Linked DNA regions of Oreochromis niloticus. The protein of the gene in region 2 purifies or fractionates together with the protein of the main gene of each other region. This does not show direct contact. Links are inferred from orthologs where the notes say so. Each region holds a gene or a part of one and is shown on either strand. Other genes may lie near its edges.

The links. Proteins that work in one complex are often made in the same cells at the same time.
Region 1: the proteins of coiled-coil domain-containing protein 97 (region 2) and sf3b5 purify together in Homo sapiens (affinity purification with mass spectrometry; 3 studies listed by BioGRID and IntAct, counting the BioPlex papers as one, with this or other methods). This does not show direct contact. The link is inferred for Oreochromis niloticus from reciprocal best matches to the Homo sapiens genes CCDC97 and SF3B5.

Annotation. Positions count from the first base shown.
Region 1 is NC_031978.2:12,070,616-12,077,726, forward strand, and holds the start of sf3b5 (splicing factor 3B subunit 5), read left to right. Parts: upstream 1-4,088; 5' UTR 4,089-4,240; intron 4,241-6,977; 5' UTR 6,978-7,003; coding exon 7,004-7,111. UniProt on the Homo sapiens protein: Component of the 17S U2 SnRNP complex of the spliceosome, a large ribonucleoprotein complex that removes introns from transcribed pre-mRNAs.
Region 2 is NC_031969.2:11,464,193-11,472,008, reverse strand, and holds the start of coiled-coil domain-containing protein 97, read left to right. Parts: upstream 1-4,806; 5' UTR 4,807-5,060; coding exon 5,061-5,216; intron 5,217-5,332; coding exon 5,333-5,509; intron 5,510-6,570; coding exon 6,571-6,730; intron 6,731-6,924; coding exon 6,925-7,013; intron 7,014-7,102; coding exon 7,103-7,295; intron 7,296-7,403; coding exon 7,404-7,527; intron 7,528-7,816. UniProt on the Homo sapiens protein: May play a role pre-mRNA splicing through the association with the splicing factor SF3B complex which is involved in branch-site recognition.

The DNA.
Region 1 (7,111 bases), on a different chromosome or scaffold from region 2:
ATATATTCAGTAGTATGTTGTCCACTTAAAATGCAGTGCAGGTTATGAAAACTGTTGAATACTGAACATCAGAGTGCTACAGACTGGAATTTAACTGGGAAATGTAGAGCAGAAGCATAATTTAACAGGCTTTATTAGCGGCACCTATTTTTCTACACCTTCTATCTCACTGTTGCACCTTCAAGTGGAGACCAGAAGACTGAGCATAATAATCGTGCCTTTATTCACATTGTTGCCAAACCCTTTTAACAGTCCGCTGCACTTATTTTGCATTCAGCTCATACTGAGGGATTAGAGTCTCAAGAGGCTGGAGAGTTTTTATCCTTCAGCTGCACTAAACTCTGCATGCTTCTCTGTTATATGCAAAGCCACAAGCAATGTAAACAACATCCCATCTCCCCCACAGCTAAGGTGTCACCCAGCTTTGTTTTCCGTACCAGTGGTTTCTGCCGGGATGTGCTGCTGAGAATATCATCCCTGGGGTGCAGTTTGATAAATGCACCTTCCTGTTTTATTGCTATAATCCATCATGCCACGTTATTTTCATCAGATATTTTTCTACAGAACGAGTGAGCTAGACTGTTGATAGTGAAGAGCAGTCCTCATGGGACATAATTCAATGTGATATGTTGTCTTCTGTAGTTTAATCAAATGTAAAAATAAACCTTAATGAAATGGTCCTAAAACATGGAAAATGCTTTTGTGTATCTATATACTGATCTGATCTGACACATCATAGGAATGTAACTTTGATGGCACTATTCTGTTTTTCCAGTGATTTCTTCCAGATTTCTAGTTATTTCTAAATGTTGCAGAATTCCAACTCGTTGCTGCATATACGGCTCCTGGGATCAAAAGCAGAAACATTCTTGGGTAAAGCCAGCAAACACAATCTTTTGCAGCTACCCAGATAACCACAGCGGTCTCTGAACAGTAATAAAGAGATGACTCGGCTCTATAAACAACCAACCAAACAGTTAATATAAAGAACATGCAAAATTCAGGTAATCATCCAAAGTGCAATATGTTATCTTAAAAGGGTTGGGACTGAAAATAAGTTTGGTAATAAAAATAAATATAACTCTCAGGAGAATGCTTTTGCAAAAATTAAAATTACCTTCGGGTAACCTCAATGCACATCTTCCTGTTATCGCGCCTTAGAGATGAACACAGTCTACGAGATGCACAAAAACTATTAAAATTAATGAAGCAGAGGAGTCATGTACTCATAGTTTCTGTAGAAATGTTGGATTTAAATTGTTTTCCCCAAAGAAACATTTTACAATGTTCAGCCAGACAGTAAAATGTTATAGTAGATGTAGTAATAGTTTTTACTAGACCTTCATGGCTCCCAGAAAATGATCTGAATGCTACTGATACCAGAAGTCTCAACATTTATTTCCTTTGTGTTTCTTTAGTTGGGACCCTAATGGCATTCACACTGCCCTTGGGATGAATTCCAGCCTGTTATGTATTCATAAAATGTATGCATTTATTGTCAGGTCAAAAATTTAAAGTGTCCAATACCATTGTGACTAAATACTAACATTCCAGGAATAAAACAGCAGTAACACAGGCACCAAAGTCCAAGGAATGTCAGTTAGAGTCAGCAACTTGTAGAGATGACCCTAAACCTTACCCTGAGTTTTTAGTTGTCCAAATATCAGCATAAAACAGCAGCTCCCAAATTTATTTCCAAAACTGTGTTAAAAAAATTAGCACTGCAGCTATACACCAGTATACTTAACTCCATGTTTATTTTGGGACTGTGGGAGGAACCCACACAGTGAGAACATACAAACTCTACACAAAAACAGCCCCAGACTGGATTCAAAAATCCTTCTTGCCGTGAGGCAAACCATGCACTATTGTGCCACATGTATTGGCACACTAGTCTATTCTCTTTAGATAACATCTAAAGACAATAGAGCCTAACTATTCACAAAATATAAGTAAACATTTCAGAAATGTGGTGATTTTGGCTCAAAATTAAATGTTGAGCCAAGAATATTGCCCATCATCCTACCCATGAGTGCCATAACGCTAATGTCTGTGGTTAAGTTATTACTGCTTTGCACCTAGCCACAGAACATCATACAGACAAATTTGGCAGTTTAACAGAAAACAGGCAACACAAACAGAGACAGACACATTTTGAGCTAATTGGGTCAAACAGCTAATGAGCCTATGGAATGGCAAGGCGCCTGTTATCCTTCACTCCCACAATTCACAAGAATCACTGCTCCCATTCGACTATTTGAGAGACAGATGTCCTGGTATGACATAAATAAACTGAATTGGGTTGAACTGAATTAAACTGAATTGAACTATTGGTCAGAATTTAGTGAAACACAGTGATCACCTGATGGTTCTTCACTGAAACTGTTCTCATTGTCAATGTCAAGGTTACAGTTGTTGTTTTATGGACATTTTTCCATTTTCACAAGAATTACTGTTTCTCCTGGAGGTCCAGTTTTAGTGAAATGACATTAATTTGTCCTGGATCTGACTGTTTACAAGCCTGCTTGACTTCTCAGTGGATTTCAATTCTCATGAGTTTCTGCAATAAAGCCAGCCAGTAACAACAAAACTTTCTTTCTCCACCTCACACAATACAATAACCTCTGTATTATGATGGATCATGAGGTGGATGAGCTACTACATCGCTGACATTCTAGCAAAGGTGTCCGTGCCCTAGAGCCCAGTCTATATGATCAAATAGAATAGAATAGCTTTATTAACCAAATCCATGGAAAATTGCCTTTGTTTCACCAAGTTGCTTCAAATGAACCCACATTCATACATATACATATACAACACTTCAATACAATAATAAAAACACATCACAGCATCTCATTATTCAGTATATCAATTGCTCTTGGCACAAATCCTCCCTTATACACCTCTATACCTGGAGGTGTCCTATAATGTCGTTTTGAAGGCATTAATTCAAAATCAGAATAGAGAGGGAGGTCATGGTCAGCAATAATAGACCGGGCTTTCCTCAAAACAGACTGATGACACAGTTTATCCAGTTTAATTTGATGTTGACCAATAATTTGATTCTGAAAATAATGTGGTTTGTTCTTAAATTGCCACAGTCAGGTTATTGAAATATTGGACGTAATGATGTTTTCAATCAAAGTGACATAAACATCGTGGTTAATTCCAAAGTCCCTTAACATCCTAATAAGAAACAATGATTAGGTTTCTTGTAAATGGGGTCAACATTAACCATAATATTAACCTTGTCATCAATATATGTTAGCATATATATATAAGCTATTAATGACTTCCACAGACTGACCAGAAAGTGAAAGACTGTAATGGGGCTTGTGTAATTCAACACAAGATCTTTCATTTTGTTGACATTAATCAACAAATGACAAGATTTAGCACCATTCTTCCAACCTATGTACCTGAGCAAAACAAATATGGTCAGAGTTCCTATAAAAGTGATCACTGGAAAGAATTGAATGAGGAATAAAGGAGAGAGTTTGTTATATGGTGACACATCCAGTCAGTCTGTATGTACGGTTAATAGGCTTCTGTCTTTTTTCCATATCAGGCTGTGGCTGAATATGATGTTGATCAAAATCTGGAATTATGCTATTTATATGACTGATTATTGTTATTATATAATATTAATTGTGTGTGTGCGCGCGCGCGCACATTATATCGCAAATGTGCACATTATTTACTATTCCCTACATACTAAATGTTAGGCTTAAACTTATGATAAGCAGATGTTTTCATTTGTTTGTAACTGCACAACATGTGATTCTGAGCCAGTGCCCCTCAGTTTATTTGTTGTAAAATAAACGTTGCCTCACATACTGTACAAAATTTCAAAAATCCGAATAGAAGCACACAGGTCGCGAACGAGCCGCTCGTTTTGATGTTTGATTGATTGATTGATTGTTATTCTCTGTATTTCCTTAATTATATAATTAACTGCGGGTTAAGAGAACAACAGTTTTTTTGTCAGTGTTAAGTGATGCATTGCACCTTCGTACTTGTGTGTATTACTAATACATTACAATACTATGCACATATATATATAATTAAGATTTAGGATCTACACGAGAAACGCAGAGTTTACAGTCTATGTTCCTTTCCGGTTCATTTTACTGGGCGAACCAACCGGAAGTGATCGCTCCGTGGTGCTGTGTTGAGGTGGAGACAGTCGTGTAATTTATTTACATCTCCTACCTTCGTGTTTGAATTCCTGACATTTTATGTAAGTATCCGTTGTATTTTAAACTTAAAATCTGTCTTCCTAGTTATTATATTAACTTTAAAAGGAACATTTAGAGAGCGGTTTACAGATACGGTGAATAGGCTAACAATGGCTAATTAGCCTCACATTAGCATTAGCAGGAAAACAAAAACCGGTTAATTTCTCTGTTTACATAGAAATGTCTTTACTTTAAATTTAAATAAAATGTAAATTGCTTCAAACTATTATAATCATTCATTTCGGGTTAACATTTGTTGTGGCATTGCTAGACTCGTAAATACAAAATACAAGAAAAATATTGAGGTTACATGACTGAACTTGCGTCTCCTTTTTAGCTGCACGTTTCTTGTGATGTCCGCATGTGCTGTTGCTGTTAGATAGCGTTTCATTCTTGGGTCCCTGTACTTATAAGCCTTAAACGGCTTACAATAGATGGTTATTTTGGCTCCGAATCAATCAGCCTTCGGTATGTGACTTTACTCAGAAGAACAACGGCTGGTAAAGAAAATGAGTCTTTGTTTCTACAATGGCTGGCAATAAATATAAAACATCAGAACACGACCACTCTGTTACTAAAACAAAATTCACAAGTATAAATGACAGCAACAAGGTCGGCGACTTACGTAAGTTGTGTCGTAGACGCAGAATGCCCACAGAAGTCTAAATCGGACCTTTACCTGCACTTCATCTGTGGTGACAGCCTTTTCCTATTTCTTAACAACCACTGGATAAAAACCAGACCTTAGAAAAGTGTCTGTGTTGTATTTGGGAAAACCAGAGCCAGTGAAAATGTGGGACACAGTCTCAATATGTGGGATAAGGGATAAAAATACTGTAACACAATAATCAAGGTTATTTTTGCTCAGTATTAAGGTTGCAATTCTTTAACCTGGTAAGACTTTTGAGCTTTTTAAACAATGAAGACAATTTATTTCTTGTTCTTTGTCACTTTTTTCAGTCAAAGGTATTCCAAACATATGAATTGGTTTTCTTTTTGATGACCAAAAAACTCTCTCTTTATATCATTTTTGGTTGAGCTGACCTGCCAAAACCTGAAGGGAACACTGGGTGTTTAGTGAGGGGCAAAATTGTGCCAGTGCAAAGGAAGGGGATTCACTGGATTTATAGAATAGGACAAAATATGAACCCTCGCCTTTTGTTAAAAGACAAACAGCACAGTCGTAGTCTTTTTTTTTTTTTCAGTCTGTAAAAGATAGTTCTAATTGAATACAGACTTTGATTAATAGCCCATCTTAAAGTTTTTAGCCTGTTATCTCATTGTGTGGTCCATATTTATTTTTATTTATTTATTTTGTATTTGTATTAGAGATGGACCGATCCGATATTACGTATCGGTATCGGTCCGATACTGACGTAAATTACTGGATCGGATATCGGTGAGAAATTAAAAATGTAATCCGATACATTAAATATTAAAAAAAACACCTCACAAAACTTGCGACAGGGTGTAACTCGGCTCATAACCGTAGCACGTCGGAGCAGTATGCCTCACTGATAGAGCGGCTGTGTGTATTTGTAGCCTCACTACCAAACCAGCATTTCATCTCTGAGAAAGTTATCCCAGAGAGAAGTAAAGCAAGTGTGTAAGTTCATCTCTGAATGTTTGTAAAGCGTTCCCATGTTAAGCTTAACAACCGATATATGGAGCGACTGCCTCTCTCCCTCCCTCACCTTCCTGCCGCTACTTCAATCGTGAAACTGCTTAACGATCAGCTGATCGGCTTTTCTGTCGGGAGTCCGTCTCTCTTCTTTGTTTTTGGCCCACTTTGCACCAGAAAGAGGAAACCAGCGGCTGAACAACAGCAGCACGTTTAAACTTGATAAGCTGCTGTTAGAATTTTTATTTAATATTACTTTCTACACCAGGATCCTTTTAGCTGACGGCTGGTAACTGTGCAGGGGCGGATCTAGCAAAGTTTAGCCAGGGGGGCCGATAGGGCATGAACAGGGAAAAGGGGGCACAAAGACATACTTTTCTTTCTTATTCTCATTTAAAATGTCTAGCTTTTAATAAATAATTATCTGAATCTTACACCCAAAGTTTTAATCTGATGTAAAATGTATAGAAGTCCATTTCTGTATATAGTAACTGTTAAGTCTAATATACTCTAGTAAGCTATAGTACTTTTTCCTTTGGGAAGGTACCATCTGTGCAGTCTGCAATTCTGTTGAAGAAAGATGTTGAATCTATTTAATTATTCTTGAAAAATAATTTAATTCTGTGCATTTTTTTTCACCCTGCATCAAATTAAAGTTGATTACATCGATTAAGCATCATGAGGTGGAGGATGGGGGGTGGTTCCCTATTTTTTTTTGCTGGGAGTTTGCAACCCTATTAGTTAGGTTGCTTAATATTTCTGCTAAGTACTCTTTAAAATACCAGAATAGGAAGGATGGAGCAGGTTTAAGTTTATTAGATTGATCAGTGTTGCTGAACTATAAAATATTTTGGGTGCAGTGTATTTTTTACATACAGGTATAACAGAATAGCTTTAGTGTTATTGTTTATTTAAACTTGAGTATGAACTTATACAAAATGCAGCAAGATATTAAAAAAACAGTTTTATTGATTAAAAAACACACTATATCGGATTCATATCGGTATCGGCAGATATCCAAATTTATGATATCGGTATCGGTATCGGACATAAAAAAGTGGTATCGTGCCATCTCTAATTTGTATTCTAACTTTTTTCTCATCTCTTCCCCTGTTTAGAGCCTCCAGGACTCATTTCAGCAAGAATGACAGACCGTTACAACATCCACAGTCAGCTGGAGCATCTCCAATCAAAGTATATTGGCACAGGACACGCCGACACCAGCAAGTGGGAATGGCTGGTCAATCAGCAT
Region 2 (7,816 bases):
TTGTGCTGGTGAAGATTCTCAATATGTCGTAAATGTATTGCTGTGGGGATCTGAAAGTATATTGGTAAGTGCTGTATAACAAAGCACTATTATGGAAGTCTCAGTTCTGGTGCTGCTTTACAGCATTTGACAGGAACAAAACATTAGCTCACTCAACTAAAAAGCTGTTACCTTCATCCTTGTGCCAACTCAGGCAGCATAATAACATGGGAGATATCTGTCTGAAGGACTGCTGTGAAGGACAGTAATGAAACTCCATGCTATGCATAACGCTTGAGTCATGTCTAATTTATTTAGATTTAGCTGGGAAAATGGAAAATAGGTGAATTATTGAAAACTATGCAAACACATATGGAAATACAGTACACAAGGCAAAAACATTGCTGTACAATTGTAATAAGCTCTTCAACAATTGGTTTGACCACCTTTATTCTTCAACATTGCCTGAACTCTCTTTGGCAGCTTTCTTAAAATTTCTTAAAGTAGTGTTCAGGAATAGTTCTTCAGACCTGGTGAAGGACATTCAAAGCTCTTCTTTAGATGTTGGCTGCCTTTGTTCACTTCTCTCTCAAGATGATCCCAGGCTGCTTCAAAAATGTTGAGGTCTGGGCTCTTAGGAGGCCAGATGATGACCTCACTATTGTCATGGGTGGTCAAACTTTGTGTCGAGGAATAGACAATAGTGTTCCATTGTGTGTTTTTCTATCCAGGTATCCATTCAGAGGGTGTTTGGGATCATTGTCATGATGAAAAATGAAGGTATTGCCATCAGATGCTTTCCAGATAGTATTGCACGGTGATTCTTCACTCCATCAGACCTGTTGCCACTGATTTCAAGTTCTTCACTAATGTGGCATGCCTCAGCCTTTCCTCTCTGTTTCCATTCCATAATAATGGCTTCTTGACAGCCAACCTTCTACTGAGACCATTTCTGATGAGGCTTTGGTGAACAGTAGGTGGATCAGTAAGGCATTCAGATGCATCTGTCAGGTCCTGTGTCAGATTTTTTCCTTCTCTGTGACTTTCAGATATTGTTCATCAGCTGCAGATAGTTTTCTTTTGGGGCTGCTCCTCCTTCTTTTTCTCTCCACTTATCCAGTTTCCTCAAATCTTTTAAGGATAAACTGCACATCATGTTGAGATGCTTATGCTTATAGCACTTTGGGAATTACCTTACTGGTGGAAAAATAGCAACAAGGTAAATGCCTGTCAAACTGTCTTATCTTTGGCATTTTTTAATAAATTAAATAAAATGCTTTGCTACATTTAAACACAACCTTGGATCATCTCTTGAATTAGAGGCTTATTTTATGCTTCCCTGAAAATGGTCAGGTACAAAGACTGGCCTTAAAATGGATGAAAAAAGCAGCGAACAGAAGATCTTAAAAAAGCCTGGAGAACTATACAGAGCACTCCTCGGAAGCAAAATATAAAGAAATGAGGGGAGCTCATAACTTGTGCACAGTACTGTGTGCATCACCTGTAAAGGCAAATGTAAAGGCATAGATAAAAGGATTTTAGCTGGCATGTACAATGAAAAATAAATTTCTCTTAACAAAAAGTTGAGGAAAAAGTCACAACTCCACTGACCTTTAAAATCTGCAACAACTTGTTATTGGGTCCTGCGCATGTGGAAGCAAACTGTGATAACCTTTTTCATTAGATGGTTCAAAGGTATCATTTAACATTGTGACATAGTCAGAAGTTAGTTCATTTGTAGATACGTTTTTGGTCACCTGGTGATATTTCCTTTCTTTCTGGCCTGTTTTTTACCCAACTCTGTAGCTGCTCAGTGCTCTGTTATGTTTACCGTCTAGTCTCAGATGACTGTTTCTGCATGCTGAGCAGTATTGCAGCCTCAAGGCGCTTTATGTTATAAGGTAAAGATCCTAAAATAACAAAGCGGAAGTTCAAATAAGTAATAAATAAACCAAACGCTGCTTACAACCAGCGCAGTTGTAATTACTGGGCCACCTTCTCCCCTCCGCTCTCTGTCACTGTCAGACACAATGTGTTCATCAATATCTGTTGTACACAGATCTATTAAAATGATTCTCTGCTGTGTCACAAAGAGGAAATTATAAGACCAGATGTCAAAAGTCATTGCCTAGAAGTGGTCTCAGTAATCTAATGAGTCACCTTGTGCGTTCATTTAGAAGCTGACTCAATACTACTGACAGACCTCGAATGAATACAGGAAATTAAAGGCTGCAGTACACAAAAGAATATGTATCCAGGTAGCTAGTCGATGGATGCTGTTTATTTATTTCAAGTCTAATATTTCATCATCATGTCACACAAACTCTTTAAATGGATCAAAAAATAAAACCAGGTCTAGTCTATTTCATCTTTGAAACCTAAACTATACTACGCACATAAATTAACCTCTCTTACATTTTCATCATCCAGACTGCTGCTCTTCCCCCTGGTGGTACTGTTATGTTATTATGACTGTACCATAACCACATCTGCCTTCTATTTATTTCTGCTTTCCAAAAAAAGACTCCATTGTCTCCTGTAACAAAGTAACTGAGCAATTACATTTTTAATTAGCTGTTGACTCAGTGGTATCCATTTTTGGCACATTTACCTGTATCTTTCTTTCTCTCCCTTTGGGCCCCCCTGAGAAATAATTGACTGCAAAACCAAAATACAGTTATTAACTATTGATTCACGTGTCAGTCAAACTGAAGTCTGCATGGAAAGCAAACAGAATGAATTAGAGACTCAGTTTTCTTGCAAATTATTCACAACAATGGGACCTTGCTTTGACAGTTTTGTCACAGTGAAAACTGCACTTTGGGTTCCGAACATTTTATGCTCACCGGTTTACTTTCCATATTTTAGTCAGCACACAATTTTTTGTGATTTGTTTTTTAAGGTTGTGTGGATGGTCTATTTCACCTCATTTCTTTCACTTTTCTCTAACAAACCATCCTAACGCATAACACATGCATCTATAGTGCTGTAAATAAAGATCGATATGATGAAATAATTTTGATAAAAGTCATATTTTCACCAGAGAATTTCAATTTAAGGCTTAAAAATGTTTATTTGACTCTATATATTTAGCTGATTTTAGTCTCCTTTTAAATGATTTGCTCTTTTCTTGGCCCCTAAGTTTAACCCTTTTCCTCTGTCAACACTCAGCCCTCATATCTCCCCCACTCCTCCTCTGATATTACATCTCTCTTTCCTCTAAACTTCTTTAGTCTCTGCCATGGGTTTAAATAGCAGGACCAGCTGGCCACATCAATATATGCAGGACCTCTTTATCACAGGTGCTGGGATTACAGACACACACATACATGTGCTGTTATTTAGAGCTTTAAAAACGGGACTTGATACAGAGTAACACTTGTCTGGAGAGAACAGATAGGACTGTGTTCATTAACCAGACACCATAGATTTGTATTTGTTTCTATCTTGCAGAAAGGAGAGTTGTAGTACTTCTGCTGTCCAGCGGGTGGAGACGTGCCATTTTGAAAAGGGGTCCGCAGCATACTCCTGTCTAAATAGTACAGTCATTTGAACAGCTGTATCAGATTACTGTGAGCTCACTGTAACACCTCTGAAACACCAAAACAAAACAAGAGAACCGTCAGCTGTGTCCTGAGGGCTAGAGAATGGGTTAAACATTATCCACGCTTATTCTTTTTCTTTAATCATCTCCCTTCTCTTCTCCTGCCATTGAAGTCTATGGTTGATCTGAAAACTGTATGTTAAAATATTTTGAAATCTGGTTGAGGATAACCCTCTGATACTTTCCACCAAGTTTTATGCCCATGGCTCAAGAACTCCAGCACCACCAATGGGTTAAAGTTGGAGGTGCACTTCAAATTATACAACAGTTTATTTTAAATGAATTTCACAGGAAGTGTTAGAGAAACACAGAGGAAAAACTCTGCAAGCATTATATCATAGTGTTCACCAATAAAAAAACGAATGTTCATTCTTAACCCAAACAGCAGCAGCAATCGACCTTGATTTTAGTTATTTTTATTATTTTTGCTTAGTATTACTAGTTGGAGAAATGGCATAGTACACATTTAGTGTTAAGGTAAATTAATATTCTGTTCCTCAGTTCTACCACAACAAGATGTACATCTACCAGCCCTCAGAAGTTGCAGCAAAGGTGAGTAAAATGCATTTATGCAAAAATACAACAGTAGTAATTCCAACCCTGACCACAAGACACATCATTTCCATTACAAGAGCAGCTTTGTTTGTTTGTTTTCAAAGACTGGCCTTGAATGCCAAATCCTGCCGTACCTCCTCATCTTTTTCTTCCCTCTTTGATTTTCATGCTTCACAGTCACACCTGAAAGTCTGGAGAGTAAGAAGAGGCTCTTACTCTCCAGAGTGGCTCTCAGACAGAGGACAGCTGTGACCTGTCACTTATCTCCCTGAAGCTGAACAGTCCTTTATGTGCACACAGAAGCAGTTTAGGGTTCATTGCCTTGCTGAAGAGCACTTCAGCCAAGAAGAAGCCATGCACAGAGCCTCAAGGTGAAAACAATTGAACCTGACCTTTGATAATATTTGAAAAATACTGGTCATATCACCTAACATATTATTTGAAATCACAGATTTCAAGTAATAGACTATACAGCGCTTAAACACCACAGTATGATATGTCAGCAATAATTGATAAAAGAATAAAAAATAAAGCTGAGGTGACCCATGTGCAATTTATGTTTGATATTTATTTCTAAAATATTTCTCTGTTGGAAAAAAATATAAGCATTAAAGTCTGTCACAAGGTGGCGACAAAGACATATCAAAGAAAAGGCTGTGGGGGAGGAACAATTCTTTCGGTTGCACAGAGAAAGGGGGACACACAAAAATGACGGACCGTTATGGCGACGAAACGTTATACAAAACAAGTGAAAGGTAAAATAACACGCGAGGTTTCCATTAAAGAGAGTTTCTCATCAAATTGTAAAAATTAATTGGTCGTTTAAAAGAAATAAACAGGGGAAGTCGGCAGTAGGCTGAGCTTTTCTTAGTTGACCATCGTTAGCTGCTGGGAAGACGGTGGCTAAGTGACACCGCGGTTAATGATGTGGGGAGAGATCGACCCTCCTGTTAAAACACAGCCAAGCTTCTGTGAGACTGAAGACGAGAGGAAAATAGAAGAAATAATACTGCCACGGAGACAGAGATGTGACTCCAGCAGCTCTGAAGACACCCAGCGGGTGGTGCAGGACATCCAGGTGAACCAATCAGCGACAACAGCGTTTGTTTTTTCGTTTATATTTTCAACCACAGTGTCAGGTGCTGTCTGCCATTATGACGCCTCGCTGATTTACGCTTTCTGCTCATCATACAGAATATAAACCTGAGCGAGTCCAGCTGTGTGAATGCCATGATGGAGGCCATAGCTGTGAGCGGCGTTCTGGTGAAGAGCCAGCAGATCGGAGAGGCTGAGCTGACCGTGCAGGAGCGCAGAGAGGAGCTGCTGCATCAGTACCGCAGCAGGCCGCTGGTGTTCCTGGAGAGGTACCATGTATGTGCCCACAGTTCAACGTACACGTGTGTGTGCTAGTGAAGGGCAACATCGCCCAATATAGATGCTTAGAGGCAACGACATTCATAAGTAAATGAAGGCAAACTTCTTTCCCAGTGACGTGCTTCCATTGATGGCACTCTTTATCACTTAATGTGTTACTCTGTTGGAACAAGGTGCCAGCATTGTAGTACAATAGTAGTGACAGAGCATGAATCAAATTTAAACACAAAAGTAGCCTAGTTAGTGCTTTCCTTGGAATTTTTAATTAAAAAGTATAAAATGACGGCTTATTGCTTCAGTTCAACAACAACTTAACCTTGCAACCTTGTAAACATTGTAACTTAAGCTTGTAACCATCTGCTTTAAGTGTCAGTAATTCCCACATTCCTTTTAGTCTTCCTGTCATATGGAGTGCAACCAGCTAGTGCTCAAGTGACACAGTGGAGTCGTTTGTTGACATTTGGGTCGCACATCATCAGCTGTTAGCATCTCCTCCTTCTTAGCCTGGCTGTACTTAGCTTTGTTTTTACCTTAAGGAGTGAAAGAAGTGTGTCTTGTTTTCACTTTCAGTGAGAACAATTTCCTTGTATATTTTGGAGAGTACAGCATTGGCTGATGGTTGTTGAGCTATATATTTTTTAAGTACTAAATCTTCCTCTGAGCCCAACCGTAGAGGTGGGCCCATCGATCTAAATATCATTTTGATACCAGTGCTGGCATTGGTATTGGGTTGGTACTAGTGTGTTACGACTGATACTTCTGTCCTCTGAGTTTAGTTTGCAGAGCACTGAATTGTGTTGAATAAACTGTTATTATTGTTTAGAAATGAAAAGATGTACCTCAAACATGCACTGTGACTGTGTGTTGACTGTTATGTCTACCAATAACACATTAAATAACAGAAGCTGACCCAAAAGTTCTTTACAGACAGGAACATTTACATTACAGATCTCCAAAAAAGCCAGTTTCAAAATACATTGTTAACTAAATATTGTACTGTTGGTAAAGAAGTGAAGAATTCCATTATTATATTTTGTTTTTAATCTTACAATTTCTAGGCTTGCCTGAAGCCTCAGCATCTGTCAGCATTTGCACATGTCAGCTCAGACCCACGAGCACAGCACTACAGCAAGGTGATACAGAGACGGGCTGCAGGACGCACCGACAGGACCAGAGTCAGGAATCAGCGCTATGCTGCCCTCAGGGCTCTGCAGAAGGGTAGGGGCAGCAGCAGTTAATGATGCAATACAGCCTTTTATATTATGCCACCATGCAGCAATTGGGCAAAAAAGCTTTAGTCTTTGATAATGTCAACTGAGGTACTTGCAGCCAACTGAGGTACTTTTCTCTCTAACTCGCCATCGGCCTGGTTTTGTTTTGTGTTTCTTTTTGTGCCATGCCTCCTCTTCTAGACGGCCAGTACTTCAGTGAAGAACAGATGCGAATGAGGGAGCCGCTGCTGTACGAACAGTATATTGGCCAGTACCTGACAGATGAAGAGGTGAGTCCTGTTTATCTTGCGTTTTATATGTGATTACAATTTTTGTATATTTCAGAGTATTTATCTAATTACCTTCATGAATGCTGCAGGTGCTACAACGCTCCCAGGAGGCCATGCTGGATAGTGCACAGGGGGGAGCCGGGGAGCCGGGGCAAGGTACAGGAGGACTTGCCAATCTGCTCCTCAACTCCTACCAGGAACGACTCATCCAAAATCGTCTGCAGGAGGAGCAGGAGAAGGAAGACGGCGCACTGGAGGAAGAAGAGGAGGATGACGACTACGGTCAGTCAGAGTTCGGGTTGAAGAAAAAACTTTAAAATTTAGGCTTTTTTCTTTTCTTCTTCTTTTCCCTCCATCTTTTCTTATTCTGCTCTGTGTTTCATACTGTAGATGACAGAGACCAGCAGAAGGAATGGGAGCCGACCCCGGAGGAGAAGGCTCTTCTCAGAGAGGAGTTCATCAGTCAGATGCACCAGCGTTTTCTAGATGGCAAAGACAAGGATTTCAACTATAGGTCAGTCACACAGCACACAGGAGCAGTTCAAAGGCTTCTTCATTGCGTTGTAGCCAACTTAAAGCTGCCTTTGACAGATCAAGTTCCTCAGACTATTAGTTTATGTTTGTAGGTGTTTGTAATATAAGATTTTCAAATTAGTAAGCAGGCTTTTTGAGAATGTTGCTGAAAAAAATAACTAGTTTTGTTATTAAAGCTTTGAGATGATCATTCCTCATAGATTAATCAGTTCACAGAATAACAGAACTCAGTAATCTACCAAAGTTATTTTTGCTACAGCTCAGCGCAG